2 linked regions of the Alligator mississippiensis genome follow. Each later gene encodes a partner of the first gene's protein in a complex. Links are inferred from orthologs where the notes say so. Each region holds a gene or a part of one and is shown on either strand. Other genes may lie near its edges.

Region 1 (8,135 bases):
CCTCCTCTGGACCCTCTCAATGCTAGCCACATCCCTCCTGAAGTGCGGCGCCCAGAACTGGACACAGTACTCCAACTGCAGCCTGACCAGTGTCACATAGAGGGGGAGGATCACTTCCTTGGACCTGCCTGTGATGCATCTGTGGATGCATGAAAAGGTGCGGTTAGCCTTCCTGAGGGTCTCCCCACATTGGCGGCCCATGTTCATTTTGGAATCGATAATGACTCCAAGATCCTTTTCTGCCTCTGTGCTGATGAGAAGGGAGTTCCCCAGCCTGTAGGTCTGCTGCTGGTTCTTCCTCCCCAGGTGCAATATCTTGCACTTGTCAGTATTGAAACCCATCCTGTTCTCATCCGCCCACCCCTGTAACCTGTCTAGATCGAGTTGCAGCCTGTCCCTCTCCTCCAGCATGCCCACTTCTCCCCACATCTTAGTGTCATCCACAAATTTGAACAAGGTGCTTTCCACCCCCTTGTCCAAGTCGCTGATGAAGATATTGAACAGTGCAGGCCCCACCACTCTTCTTACCTGAATTTCCCACTCCCGGTGCAGGGAGGCACAAACAGTCCTAGGCCATAAGCCCCTGCTACGCAGGGACTTCCGGCAGGGTAGCAGGGCTGGATGGGCCCTGCTGTTGCAGGAGCCTGCCGTGGCTTCCCCCGGGTCCTGCTGCTCCTGTCTCCTGTCATTTTGATTCAAAAAGGGATTGGACAAATTCTTGGAGAAAAGGGGCATCGGTAGCTATTCAACATGGGAGTTAGGGATGCAGCCTCTGAATCAGAACTTCCTAGATCTTAAATGCTGGAAGCTCCAAGCAATAAAGAAACAGGGGAAAAACTAGGTGTACACTGATAGAGATTTTTGGGGGCGATACCAATGGCTGATTTTTAATGAGCCATATCAGCTGATACCAATCCAATTGCCAATATGCAGTCCGGCAGCTTGGAGAGCAGCATCTGGCTGGCGAGTCTGTTGTGGGGGAAGGGGCAAGGTGGGAGGAAAGAGGTAGCGGGGGCAGACCAAGGCCCCTGCGGTGAGGAAGGGAATGGGACTGGCTCTGGACCTGGGGTAGGGACAGGCATTGAACAGCCAGGGCAGGGTGTGGTGTAGGATGGATCCATGGCTCATCCAGGGGGTGCAGGCACCCCAGGAGGGTATGGGGTACATGTGCCCCCCAGATTTGCCTGCAGGGCAAGGGCAGGCTGCCGCTGTGGGCTGCAGCCAGGGGCAGTGCCAGGTCCTTCCTGGAGGTGCTGGGCCAGGCTGCACTCAGGTCAGGTGGCGGTAGCACTGGGAGTGGGGCTACAGAGAATTTTGGGGTGGCTGTAACCCCCGCCATAGCCTCCCCTCCCAGCGCCGCTGATGCCTACCCCAAGCACAGCCCCAGCCCAACCCCCCTGCCAGGAAGAGCCTGGCACTGCCCTCACCCCACACACGGATCCAGGAGGTGCACGGCCCCCATGCCCTTCTGGGTGCATACAATGGCAGGAGCTGCTTGGCAGGAGCCGCTCGTCCCCTGTCCCGTCCCCCCAACATCCCCTGGACAAGCCGCTCATGACTCCATCCCATGCCCCGCCCTGCTCCAGCTGTGCAGTGCCTGCCCTAGCACCAGCCCCACTCCCTCCCTCACCACAGAAGCCTTGGTCTACCTCCCCTATGCCCCTTCCCCCCGCAACAGACTTACCAGTCAGACACTGCTCTCCACGCTACCGGGCTGCACTCCTAGCCACCTGCATGCTGCGCTGTAGATGCACGCGCGCATACACAGCATTTACTGGCAAAATTATCAGCCACAACAGCCAAAAAAAGCCAACTGCTGATGATGTCAATTTTCCTTTTATCGGTGCCAATATGATATGGGACTGATGTATCAGTGCACCTCTAGAAAAAACCCTTAGTCATACCCAGTTCACTCTCCTTTTCAGTATCTGCTCTCTGCCACTGTGAGACACAAGAGACTGGGCAAAAGAGACCTAAGGGCTAACCCAGCACATGGCAATTCTTACGGTTTTATATTCCTATTCTGCTTCACAAATATCCAAACAGATTTGGCAAAAAGGCTAGGGATTTTCTCCCAAAGGTACCCTCCCCCATACATTTCCATGTCAAACAATAAAGCCATGCGCCATCACCAGTCTACTTCAGCAGCAGCCAGCCTCTTTGGCAAACATGCCACAAGTTAAATTCAAAATAGGAGATGATGCCACTCCAATAACCAGCCACCACTGTCACCACTGGCATGTGTTAGCCCTCCATTAGGCAGCACCTTTCCTCGCAGTTGCCACAGACCCAAACCTCTAAGCTAACACTGCCTGCCACCCAGCCTGTCACTGCTGGCACCTCCTTCAATTTGGTGCCCAGGGCTCACGTGCCAAACATACCAGCTGCCCCCGCCACTAGCCCACGCCGAGGTGGCGTGTACCTCAGAAGCAGTACAAGGGCTGGCAAGGATGGGGCAAGAAAGCAACTCCCTGTCTCCTTGGCAGGGCTGCCTTGCACCTGTTTTACCAGCGGCTTGGGCAGCACGGCCAAGAGCCCCAGTGACGCCCCAGGTACCGAGGCACCATGAATAAAAATAAACGTGGTTTTCCAGGGGGGGTTTCATCCAGGAGCCCCCAGACGCCAGGTCGAGGGCGGCTGCTCCCCGGACGACACCTTGAGCCCTGCCCGCAGGCAGGTACGTGCGACCGCCGCCCCGCCGCGCCCCGCCGGACTCACCCGCTCGCCGCCTGCGGCTCATCCTGGCCGGGCGGCCCCGGGGCTGCAGCGGGGCCAGGGCCGGGCTGCGACTCCTCCCCGCCCGGCGCGCAGGCGGGGCCCGGACTTCCAGGGGCAGCCGCGGGGCTCGGGCCGCCGCCGCCTCTGCCACCGGGTCTCACGTTGGGCCTCACGCTGAGCCGCGCGCGGCGGAACATGGCGCCAGCGGAGCGGGCGGGGAGCCGGGCGGCCCTGGCCCCGGCCCCGGCCCCGGCCCCGACGGTCACAGGCCCACGGGCAGCAACGCGCCTGCTCCCAGCGACCCCCGCGGCGGCCGGCGGGGCCGCCTCATGTCAAACGCCGAACACCGCGCCCAGTGCCCCGCCCTCCCTGCGAGGGGCCTGGCGCATCACGCATCATCAATGCGCGACTGCAACCGCCTGCCGGGGGATGACGTAAAAGGGAGGGGCGTTCTAGCGCCAGACCCCGTAGGGATTTGCTGCAGCTGGCGGTGAACTCTTGCGAGACTTTGTTCTTGTTCGTGGGCGAGACCTGTGGGCTACGTGTGGCTTGTGGGAGCGCTGAGGACAAGGCTCGGATCCGGCCCTGGCACGGGCAGGGCAGGGCGCTTCCTCCCGAAGGCCCGGTTTAGTGCAGTGACAATCCCCCTTGCTTGTGCAAAACACCCGGCAATGTCCCCCAGGTCGCCCTTAACCCCTGTTACCCCGTTCTGTGGCCTTTCACGAAGGAGGCCGGGCAAGGTCAGATTAATGTAGCTAATCATCAGGGATCCTGGTTTTCACTGTTCAACAGTCAGAAACTCTCTGATTTAAAACCCCTCTCGGAAATTCTCTGAATAAAAAACCCCAAATCCACGTTTATCCACAATTAAAATGAAACGCCACTATGTATACAGGTAACTGTACATGTACATTGAACACAATGTTTAATTGCTATGTTTACAATTTTAAAGCAAGTTGGAAGCCTACCAGTGCCTCAATCATTATAATAAAATAAATTCTAAATACCTATACATTTTAGCATTTGAGCTTGGGTTTTTATCATGGACAAAAATCAGCTCCCCCAGCCCCCTCTGCTCACCAGGACAAAGGTCCAGCTGCAGCTGTCCACCCATCTCCACTGCTTTGTAGCACTAAGCAGCCCTGATATGCTGGTGCCATGCCCGTTCCATTGCCCCATATGCCCAAGCCACAGCCCCACCAGTCTTGCTGGTGCCCCTCACTCTCAACTGACAGCCCCCTGGCCCTGCTGGTACCTCTCACTTCTGACCCACAACCCCCAGCCCTGCCAGTGCCTCTCCTGACTCACTGCCTTCCCACCCCCAGTGTGAGGAGGGAAGTGCGTGTATGGGGAAGGTGTGGGGCAGCCCACAGGCAACATGGCACACAGAGGTGTGGAGGCCAAGGCAACACAGCAGGATGGCACCCAAGATTTCTGCACCCACAGTGGGGCATAGGGATGCAGCAGGGCCAGACCAGCTCTGGCTAGAAGCTGCCCCAGTGGCCCAGTGGATGGGACCCAATGCAGGAGGAAGCCATGCCATGGTGATGTGTGTGTGCCAGCAGCAGCAGCATGGAGTTGTGCTCCCCGCTGCTGCCAGGCAAACCAGGGGCTGCTTGGCAGCCATGACAGCACTCCCTCCCACACTGGGCCACGGAGGTGGCTCCTGCCTGGAGCTGGTCGAGCCCCGTTGCAGTCCTGTGCCCCGCTGTGGCTACAGAAATCTCGCAGGCACATGCCCTCCTGCCTGTGCCTCCACCCCTCTCCTTGACTTACCTAGAGGGAGTTGCGGGAGCTGCTATCTACCACTGCCTGGCTGCCATGTGCATGTGTGCACACATGCACTGGAGCCCCCTGGGCCTGATCACTCTCCCACCCCATCCAAAGGGAACCTGCGTTTTCTTGCAATTTTCTCCTTTAAAGAGAAATCCACATTTTTCTGCAGCAAACAGAAAACCTGGGTCCCTGCTGGAGCCAAACTGAAGCCCCACCAGAGACAGCTAATCTCAAGGGCACAGTTAAGCTCAGAAAACATGAACAAGTATGTTTCAACATCTACACTCTACAGCTACAGTTAGCAACTAGTGTTTTGTTTTGGCTTCTCAAGATGGGTGTTACCTATTTTGTGGCTAAAGCTTGAGAAAGTGTTGCCAGCCTCCAACTCAGTTCAAAGCCTCAGAGATATTAGAGACCTGTGTTATTTACCAGGTAAGGTCAGGTTTGGATAAACCATTACAACTCAGACCTTGGAGGCATATTGTAAACATTAGAAATTATGCATGTTTTTGTAAAATCTTCACAGGTGTTTTGGCCCTGTATTTCTTGCCAAAATATTCCCTTTCTCATATTTCCCCACCCTACAGTGGTGTAACTTGCTTGTATATTGTGGGATGCTCTTTGAGGATGCTTTAGGAGTAAGATGGCTATTTATGCATAAATGGAATAAGTATATAAAGAATTATTTTTATCTGAACAGTTCTCTTTCTTTCATTAAGAACCTTCAACAATTCAAGGTCCGGATATTGTTGTTCCAATGTTGCAAGATGGACTCCTAGTTTAATGTATTGGGTTGCAAAATATATATTTTTATGATTAAATATAGCTTTTTAAAATGTTGATACACTGAATTCCTTGAGCGATAAAAAAGTATTTGCCTCTGAAAACCTAAATTCTGGGCAATGAGATTCCACTTTGCTTCAAAGTCTGGGTCAGCCAGTGTTACAGCGCCACTTTTCTATATTCCAAGAATAGGAAACGTTGGATATCTATTTTGGAGTTGCCATCTCTCACCGTTTGACTTTAAGTCTTGGGATACAGGCATGAACCCAGCACGGTACAAGTGCATCCTCCCCCCCAACCCCTTTGATTCCTGCTCCACCTGAAGTTTAATACTAATTCCCTGGCAGTGGCAGCAATAGCTCTAGGCCAGTAGTTCTCAACCTTTTTGTATCAGGACCCATTTGTAAACATTTTTTTTTTTTTATTAAGAAAATATAAAATATATATTTCTCTCTCCACACCGCCTCCTTTTGTCAATATCTCACAATAAACAATATCATACATGAATCAATAATACATGACACGATCGTGGGAACTTCCCATCTTCTTTCTCCACCACAATTTCTTCACAATTGGATCACCAGATCCTCTTTATACATAATCATCAATTCAATCCAAGACAATACATTTTGCTCTTTTCTCATACAAGTTCTTGGGACACTTTCAACATTTATAATACATCCTCATATTTTACACAATCTTTCCCTGTGGTCTCGTATTTTCCTTCTTTTTATTTGCCTTTAACACATTTTCCACACCTCTTTATTTATAGCATACACAATTCACTTTTGTTTCAGTAGTACTGTTTTCCCCACTTTCCGTTTTCACCTTTCCATTTCCCTGATTCCCGACGCATTTCCTTTCCCTACTTCCCAACGCTTCTTCTTTTCCTCCTCTCTCTCCCTTCTTCTTTTCTTTCCCTACCTTTACCCTATCCTGGCCGGCTGGAATAATTCCTGCCACCGAACGCCTTGCCATGCCCTACTCCCTTCGCCCTTTTCTCCCTTTCCCTTTATGTAGTCCTTAATCTCATAATACCCCAGCTGTAAGCATTCCCTTTGTGTAAAGCATACCCCCTTCCCTACCAACAAGCACCTCACTTTCCATAATGCCACCCTCATCCCCATCAAAATCACCCACGCTTCCCATTGCTTTTCTCCTTGTTTCACCAGTCCGTACACTGCGCTCTCATAGGACACCCCCTGTGCCCACCCTATCGCCCTTAGAAACTTCCCTACTCTTCCCCACACCCTTCTTGCAAACGCGCACTCCCAAAAAACGTGATGCACCGTTTCTTCCTTTGTACAGAACTCCTTCGGGCATTCTGCCGATCTCACCAGCCTCCATCGGTATAATATTTCTCTGACTGATAACACCCACCTAACTATACACCACGCAATTTCCCTGTGAAACCCTTTCCACCTTGCGTCTTCTATTCCCCTCCACACCTCTCTCACCTGTTCCCATGTCAAATTCCCCACGTCCGTTAACCCATCTTCCTCCCTAATTGCGTTGAAAATTACCCTCGCCTTTTGTAATCCTTCCATCCCGTTTCACCAAACCCTTTGCCTTGACGAATGCCACCAGCCTATCCACGTGCTGTGATGGTTTCCCTGCCCACGTGCCTGTCCACCTTTCTCCGAATACCCCCCATACCCTCAAAATTCTGCCTCCCCAGTACTTTACCCATTTCCCCACTATTCCTTCCCCTCTCCGTGCCTCCCTGACTAATGCCGCTACCCCGTGCCCATATATGAATGTTTCCACCTCTGGAAAACCCCATCCCTCTAGCTCCCCCGCTTTATAAAGCTCCCTACCTGCTACCCTCTCTCCCTTACTTCCCCAGAAAAACACACACAATTCCCTTTGTATCCTCCTCGCTTGCCTCCACGATGGAGGGTATACCCACCCTACGAACAGCAGGATCGGTGAGATCACCGACTTGATTAGCTTTACCTTCCCCATCTTTGACAAACCTCTCCATCCCCGTATTCCCAGCACCTTTCTAACCCGTCCCCGCACTTCTCCCCATGCTGTTTCCCCTTTCCCATCTTTCTCAAAACATCCCTAATATTTTTTGTCCTCTCTCTACCACCTGCAACCCATATTCCTCCAGACCCTCCCAGTTCCCTATTCCCCATATCTTACTCTTCCCTCTATTTAATCTTGCTCCGGCTGCCCTTCCGTACTCTTCCATATGCTCCAGCACCCTCCTCACTGACCTTCTGTCCCTCACCAAAAATGCCACGTCATCCATATATAGCACCGCTTTCACTTCTCCTCCCCTGGTATCTTTATCCCCTGAATTTGGTTGTCCCATTTTATCTTCCTTCCTTCCTATGCCACACACAAAAAGCCCTTTTGTAAACATTGATGGCCAGTCCCAACCCAGCACCCTTCACACTCAGCCTACTGCCCCCCACCCCAAGGCCGCAGCCCCACTGTAGGGGGTGGGTGTGTGGGACAGGGTGAAGTATGAGTGGGGCCTGGGGGACCCCAAGCACCCCCTTGCAGACTGGAACTCTGCAAGGGAAAAGCCAGTTGCCCACATGTTTCTCCTTTAAGGGAGAATCTATTTTTAAAGTTTGTTTGCAACCTTTTCATTTATTCTTAGACCCACTCTCAGGTCATGACCCACAGGTTGAGAAATGCTGTTCTAGACAAATAAGGGAGGGAGTCAATTGACTTCATGGCTCATTTTGATCTACCTGATCCCGTCTCTTCATCGCACAGGTGTTAACGACCCTCTCTTTTTATTTAATGGTCTTGGTCCATCGATCAAGCTAGCCTTTTCTCTGCAACTCTGCTGTTAGCTGTTCCTGCAGTTATGTTTGCTTTTACTTCCATCCTAAACAGAA
Region 2 (7,754 bases), on another chromosome or scaffold:
AATGAGGAAGATGGCACACTCTTTTTAAAATTGCCTCTTTGTGCCTTAGTCCCTCTGCAGAGGGGAATTTTTTCCATACCTCATAAAAAATAGATGTATCCTTGGGACTTGAAGCTGGAGCTTTATAACAGGTATTTTTTTCAGTGCCTTGGACAAGTCGAGGAACCACCTGTAACTTTGAAATGGGTGTTGTGTATAATAATACATGTTTGATGTTGGTGTTCAGAATGGGTTTAAGTGAAACTAACAGAAGTGACTGTTAGTCTCGTTTAAGAGATCTGGTATGTGGGTACTATTCCTCCTGGAGCAGCTGGAGCCCTTGTATAATGCTGCATCTGCTGCTTTAGAGAGAATTATTTGAGGACATTAATAGTTGTCCAGAAGTTGTGTTCTGCCCCCTGTCCCCTCCTCCCCCCCAGTCTGGGAAGATTTTAAACCCTGAAGTTATTTCACAGTCCGGTACTTGGTTTATGTTAATCCATTTGAGGCGAGAATATTGTGCTGAAGGTGGGATCACTGAATTTTGAGAGGAATTAAGTGTGTGCTATGAAGTGTGTGCACTGAAGCTTGGTTTCCTTTGATGTTGTAGTACATCTCATTGAGGTTTCAGGGTCCTCTGGGAACGGTTGTCCTTTAAAAGCCACACTTGTGCTTTCTTAGCTGTGTAGCTGTTGCACAATTCTCACGTACCTCAAATCTGTCAGTGGCAATAGCTTTTTGAAGTGTCCAGGCAAAAGGGGATTGGTACTTCTATGTTAAGCAGGGTGCATTTCAAGGCAAAGTGAGTGTACAGAGCCTTGATAGATGAGCTTCACTGAAGGTCAATTACTGAAGGATCTGAATGTATTTTTTTTATGTTTTTTAAGGTTTTGCTCTGTTAGTGTGTGTACCTATTATAGAGGTCTTCTTTAATTGACATTTTTCATGGAACACTAAAATAAAAGCGTTTTAAATTCCATGGCTGAGCACTCTTCTGCTTTTCATTGGACCCTAATAAATTAAAATAAGGTTGGGGGTGAGGGGGGCACTGCTGCTTCATGGACAAATCACTTAAAAGTACCTTAGGGCTGCAGGGGCCCTTGGGATTGGAATCTGCATTGCTGGAAGGTAAGTTCCATTTGGTGCGGTTCCTGAAGCTGTCAAGAAGAGAAGATTTTTCAACCTGGTTTTACTCTGAAAATAGATTGCAATAAACCAGTCTGGCAGCTGAGATGCCAAATGCTGGGAATAGATGGCATTGGCTGGTGTAAAGCAGGTGTATGACACTGGCCTGCACTGAAGGACAAATGTCCTAGGGAAAGGAGCTGGTTAGGCTCCATGGAGCCCCATCTGTGGCTCTGGATTTAATAGTAGGATACCACCTGTGCCTGATCAGGAGATAATCTAGTCCAGCTCCTGTAGCAAGGCAGGAGACCTATAGATTTACAGCCCCCCTCCTCCTGCCCTTGTAATATTCAAAAATAAAAATTGAAAAAAGGATGTTTGGTCCTGATTTCCAAAATGTCAGTCCAACAAACAAGACTGCAGAGGCTCAGTGGACAGCCTGTTTCACTCCTTTGCTATCCTTGCAGTTAGAAAGTATTTCTTAACATATAATTTTGTTGCAAACACAGCTATCTGCTGCTTGCCCTTCCCTCATGGGATGGGAGTCACAGCAGTAGGAACAACCTGGCAGCATAGATGACTGTTTCAGTTGCCTTCAACTGTTCCTCAGGTCATCCGTGGGCATGTTTCTCCTGGACTCGCGAGTTCACCTGTACTTTCTACATTTGGTAGTCAAAATAGCAGAGTGCTCCAGCTGAAGTGGTGCCTGAGTTGAGTGGAACATGCTCTGCATGTTTCTTGCCTCAGGCTGGGACTTTTGTGTCATATTGATTAAAAATGGAGTTGTCTATTACACTGCCCTACAAGGGCTTTTTTGCTTACCGCTGCCTGAGGTAGTTGTGGTCTGTTTTGTACTGATGTATCCTTGCTAAATGTAGCAGTTAGTGCACTTAGCACTTCTCAGTATTGAACTTTGTAGTGCTGATTTCATATCGTCTCCCCTGTGTGTCCATTCCAGCTTTGCCGTCTGATTCTGCACCGCTGGGGCCTCCTCCCACTTTCGGCTGGCTGCGCAGTGTTTGCCATGAAAGCCAATGGGACAGTTCTCCCTCCTCCAAATGTAGCATGTTACACTTAATGATGGCTTGCTTGCATGCATATGGGGCTGTCTGTCTCTGCAGACTGAACAACAGTACCTGGACAAGTTTTTTAAAATGTTAAGCAAGTATGAACTACAAACCAACCTGCTTTCTGGGACTTGCCCGATTTATTTGGACTTGGCTTAAAGCAGTGGGAGTTGTCTGGCCACAGTGACTACATGGTGAACAACAGCCTGTAAGGCAAAGAAACTTGATCCACCAGTGCAGCAGAATGAGAAACGAGCATCTATAGCTGTCAGGTATGTGTTGGATCTCTATCGTCCAAAAGCTTCCATTACAACAAAGGCATCCAGCCGTTGTAGCAACTTAAAAGTCAGTGCAGTTTAAATGCCCTGCACATGCGCGTAGTCTTGGGACCACTGGACTGAAATCTGGCTCCACTGGGAATAACTGCATGCTGCTATGGCAGCCCCTGCTCCATTCACGTTTAGTTTAAAACGAGAGGTCAAGGTAATCATTAACATCCTTCAGCATCCAGTCTGAGTGGTTGCCTGCCCTTCAGGGCTATCAGCAATGACTCTCCAGGGAGCTTTAAAGCCAGCGCTCAATAGAAATTGACTGGCATTGTCAAGCGCTTCACTCTGGTGTATGGCTCTAATGAGCTATTGTAGAGAGAGGTAAGGAAATAACTCGGGTGGTTATTTCCTCCTGTCGGCTTTGGAGATAGATTAAAGAAAGAAAATTGAAGGTGGCTGCTTTCCTGGATGTAGTTCTTTCAATTCATATAACAGAAGTAAAATGAAAAGGATAAAGTTGCTGGCACTTTCCAATAGATATAGCATGTGTTGCAAAAAGAGAAAACCTTGCTGGCTGGATCAGCTGTCCTTCTCATTTCCAAAAGACTCCCCCTCAGGACTGCTGCTTTGTGGAGAAAACAAATGTTGATTAGCATTGCAGGGGCAATCTTATGAAGTTAGACTGGGGCCTGAAGCTCCCGTTTGGTACAAGGTTTTTGCTAACATCAGGACTTGCTACAAGACGCAAAGAAAACCCCTATGGGCTACACACACTGGGTTTTCAACTATCATCCTGAATTTAAAATGATGATCAATAAGCAAGTACAGCCTATATTAAAAAAAATAACTAGACAATCAGAGAACCAAGCCTAGCCCAACCCTCCCTCCTAGCTTTCAGACTGTTCCTTATCACACCCAGCTCATCCTCACCCATGAAATTCCTGCTGATTAGGAGGCACGTACTGGGACCCTATGCTCTCTTGAGGAAAAATGCAAAGCTAAGCAACTAATCTCAACTGCCCCACATAGCAGCACCCTGTCCTACCCCACCACCCACTGCCCCTCGCACTGCCAACAAAACATGGATCAAGCTGGCTGTGGTATAAACTAACCCGGTACACCAGCGGGACCCTTCTGGAAACTGAGTGAAACTAGACACAACCTACTTCCAAGAATGAACGGTCAGAAACGAAGGGACTGCACTACTAGTGCATTTTTTAAAAATAGAAAACCACTTCCTTTCTGAACTTCAAGTCCTGATGCTCAAGGGAAGTTTATACATTGCTTTCAGAAGTTGGGTTTTGGGGTGGGGGGAATAATAATTAGCTCGCTAGACTTGAGAGCCAGACTTAACACAGATGTTGACTTTGTGGTTCACTGTTATCTAAGTCAGGGGTGGGCAATTATTTTGGACGGAGGGCCGCTTAGTGAGTTTTGGCCAGCCACTGAGGGCCGCATGACAGGCAGCTGGGGGCAGATAAATATTAATTTTCTAAATTGTTGTAGGGGCTAGGATGGGCTGGTGGCCGCACCCCTGACCTAGGCGATATCCCCCGCTCAGTGCTGTGCAAGTGATAGCAGCTCTCTTGAACGGGCATGCTCTTCCATTGATCTCTTCTGCATTTTACCTGCCAGCTACCTAATAGTGTCTCATACCCTATATCTTCAAGAGGAGGCTGGATAGATATCTGGCTGGGGTATTATGATCCTGGCACTGCCCTGGAGCAGCGTACGCACAGGATCTCCCAAGATGGGGGGGATCCAGGCAGACCAAGCAGGACGCGCTTGGGGCCGGGGCCAGAGGCGAGGGCGGAACGCGCGGGAACTGGGGTCGCGGCTGCTGGCCGGAGCCACTTCCGGGAGGGGCCGGAAGTGGGCGGGCGGGTGCAGCGCTGCGCGGGGTCCCCCGCGCCGCATCCGGTGCGCTCCGCTCCGCTCGGCCGGCGGCGGCGGCGGCGGCGGCATGTCCGGCCGGCAGACGTGCCCGGGCTGCGGCTCCACTGACCTGGTGCAGGACGCGCTGTACGCGCAGAGCCAGCTGGTGTGCACCGCCTGCGGCCGCGTCCTCGCCGAGGGGCTGCTCACCACCACCTTCGCTGAGGAGCAGCAGCTGCAAGGTAGGGCGGGCGCGCGCGCGCGGGGAGCAGAAAGCGGAGCAGCAAATCAGGCAGGGGAAGGGCGTCATCGTGCCACTCAGGGAGGGAAAGACTGACTTGTGCAGGAAGGGGGAAGAAGGGAATCTTCTCCGGGTGTCTTGTGAGAAACAGTTGCCTGTCACCCACAACTTCCCGCGGGCTCGCGCTGCTGCATGGGCCTGCTGTTTCTCTGGGCTTTGTCCAACACGCAGCGATGCCGCCGCAGCCGTATGCCCATCAGCAAGCAAATGCCAACTTGCAAATACCCGCGTGGCTGTGGCCCGTGGGGAGTTGGTGGTTTTTTTGAGCAGGTAACAGCGAGAGCTTCAGCTGGAGCAGTGCAAGAAAAATCAGCTGAAAACTGTTGTGTTTTACCTAAATGGAAACTTCCCAACTTCTGTTCTGAGCCAAACCTTGGAGGAATCTTTAACCAAAAATATCTACTGCTGGAAAGCTAACTGTTTTGTTTGTAGTTCAAAAAATGGCAGGACTGGTCGGTGTCACGGCCTGGTTCGTGGTGCTGTGATGTTGTGTTGTACGGGCTGGGCAGTGACCCTCTCAGCAGCACAGAGCGGACAGGGATCTCGGAGTCATCGTGGAGTCCAAAAGGAACACGAGTCGTCAGTATGTCGAAATCATCAGCAAGGCTAACCGCACTTTATCGTGCATCAGCAGATGCATGACAGATAGATCCAAGGAGGCGATACTTCCCATCTATGCGGCATTGGTCAGACCACTGTTGGAGTACTGCATCCAGTTTTGGGCACCGTGCTTCAGGAAGGATGTTGATAGACTCGAGAGGGTCTAGAGAGGGGCCGCTCATATGGCTAGGGGGCTTACAGGCCGAGCCCTATGAGGAGAGACTGAGGGACCTGGACCTCTTCAGCCTCCGCAAGAGAAGGCGGAGAGGTGATCTTGTGGCCACCTACACATTCATTAGGGGGGCGCAGCAAGGGATCGGAGATGCTCTGTTCCCCAGTAAAAAGGAACAATGGTCACAAACTGACAGAGAGCAGATTTAGGCTAGACATCAGGAAAAACTTCTTCATGGTAAGGGTGGCCAAAATCTGGAATGGGCTTCCAAGGGGGGTGGTGCTCTCCTCTGCCCTGGGGGTCTTCAAGACAAGGCTGGATAGGCATCTGGCTGGGGGCATCTGACCCCAGCACTCTTTCCTGCCCAGGGCACGGGGTCAGACTCGGTGATCTGTTGAGGTCCTTTCCGACCCGAGCATCTAGGACTCTATGCCCATGTTGTGACTGGCTTCTCAAACTGGTTTTAGTAAAAATCTATAGGGAAAAACATCCTGTGGGTCCTTACATATGGCTTTACCGTACACACAACTTTGATATATGTTTTTTTTGTTGGGTTTTTTTTAGAAAGCTCAGTCAGTTTGGACATGTTCTTTTAAAGTATCTGTGGTCAAGTCTCAGGGGCTCTCCTTTTTTCCCTCTAGACTAACCCATGTTTGCTAGTTTTAATTCAGCGCCTATAACACGTCGGACTGTGAGCAGGCTACCACTGTATAGATGGGTGCAGGCTGAATGGAATCAGAGCTGTAGCTTTCCTGCTGTCAGCTGTCCCCCTGGCCAAGGAAATACAACCCCAAATGCATTTGTAGTATGGGGTCTCAAATGTGAAGGCCTATTTGGCAGCAGTGAAATTCAGCATAAGTTGGTGATCTGCTTTACTGTACTATATCACTCCCAGCATATAAATAGGTCTGGGATTGCACTGTTTGCTGGGATCTCTTTGGCGAGGTGCAGAAGAGAAGGAGTCAGGTTGACTCAACTCCTTTTCCACCCTATCCTATCAGTTCAGGGCTGAGTTGTATTGTCAGGGAGCTGGTGAAGGGAATAGGTGCTGCTGGTGCCGCCTTCGGAGATGTGAAGAGAATAGCCCCCCCAGTGCTTCGCTTTCCATCCCTATTTGTCTGGCACTAACTTTGGACCTTGTCTTCTACTCACTGATGTGACTGCTTTGCCTGATGCTTGTCTTGCAGAGGTGACATACTCATGGAGCACGGGCCAGAAGGAGCAGCTGAGCCGCTGTGAACAGCGAGGTGAGAACTGGTTCCTGGTTTTGAGACATGTGGGACTTGGTGTCATGTTCCTGCCAGGGGGAAGCTGCCATGTGAATTGCACTTCTGTTTCTCGCTCAGCTGAGAAGCTCCCCTGGTTCTAGGCCTGGCAGTGCCAGGTGGCCTTTAGCTGACATCTGGCCTGGGCTGAAGGAGCTAGAGAGACCCTTTTCATGCAGATGCTGACAGGGTGCGCACTTTTGCAGGGATCAAGCGTGTCCAGGATCTGTGCAAAGTCCTCCAGCTCCCACCTGTGTTTGAAGAGACAGCTGTGTCTTATTTCCAGCGTGCAATCAAGCACCCCTCTTTCCACTTAGTCAGCTTGGAGAAGAAGGAGGTTCTGGTGGGTTGCTGCGTCTGTGTGACCTGCCGGCAGCACAACTGGCCTGTGACCATGGGAACGATTTGCTCCCTGCTGTATGCGGACAAGGAACTGTTTACCAGTGTGTACCTGCATGTCTTGAAGGAGCTGGAGCTGGATGTGCCTGCCCTGAGCCTGATGGATCTGGTGAAAACGCATCTCAATGGGTAATGGAACTGACACCCTCCTTCCTGCAGGATCCATGGGGCTTGGGAATCCCACATGGCTGGACACCCCTCGAGTCGCCTTTTGGGTACAAGGCAGGACCTGTGCATGCAATGGGCAATGCCACCTGGGCTGAGAGTACCAAGGGAGCCCTGGTTCCTATGGGATGCATTCCCTGACACTCACCGTGGCACAGCAGAGGGCTCTCTCTGCAGAGCTCCACTTTGCTTATTTGCTTTGTGTCAAAGAGAAGGCTGGGCCAGTTCCTCTGAGACTAGACCCTGGGCCCTGTGTCACAGCTGGTGCCCAGATGCTGTCATGGGAATCTATCCCCCAAGTACTTAGGTTCACAAGGGCTGAATTACAGCTAAAAACTGTCCCCTGCCCCCCACTTGCCTCAGACTAAGAACCCTTCTGGCAAGAGGATGAGAGAAGAGACATTGATAGTTATCATTTAGGTAGATAGTTGTCAGATAGGTCCAGGCAGTGGCCCACACACTGGCCTTCTCAGTTGGGTGGGTGGAATTGCTGCTGCATCGGGATGACCTGCTCTGGTAGCCACATGGACTCATGCT

The links. Proteins that work in one complex are often made in the same cells at the same time.
Region 2: BDP1 (region 1) and BRF2 share a complex: the UniProt entries of both Homo sapiens proteins name them as parts of the TFIIIB complex. The link is inferred for Alligator mississippiensis from reciprocal best matches to the Homo sapiens genes BDP1 and BRF2.

The regions. Positions count from the first base shown.
Region 1 is NC_081826.1:251,357,470-251,365,604, reverse strand, and holds the start of BDP1 (transcription factor TFIIIB component B'' homolog), read right to left. Parts: upstream 3,094-8,135; 5' UTR 2,916-3,093; coding exon 2,719-2,915; intron 1-2,718. UniProt on the Homo sapiens protein: General activator of RNA polymerase III transcription. Requires for transcription from all three types of polymerase III promoters. Requires for transcription of genes with internal promoter elements and with promoter elements upstream of the initiation site.
Region 2 is NC_081830.1:18,638,842-18,646,595, forward strand, and holds the start of BRF2 (transcription factor IIIB 50 kDa subunit), read left to right. Parts: upstream 1-4,334; 5' UTR 4,335-4,403; coding exon 4,404-4,557; intron 4,558-6,575; coding exon 6,576-6,635; intron 6,636-6,859; coding exon 6,860-7,181; intron 7,182-7,754. UniProt on the Homo sapiens protein: General activator of RNA polymerase III transcription. Factor exclusively required for RNA polymerase III transcription of genes with promoter elements upstream of the initiation sites.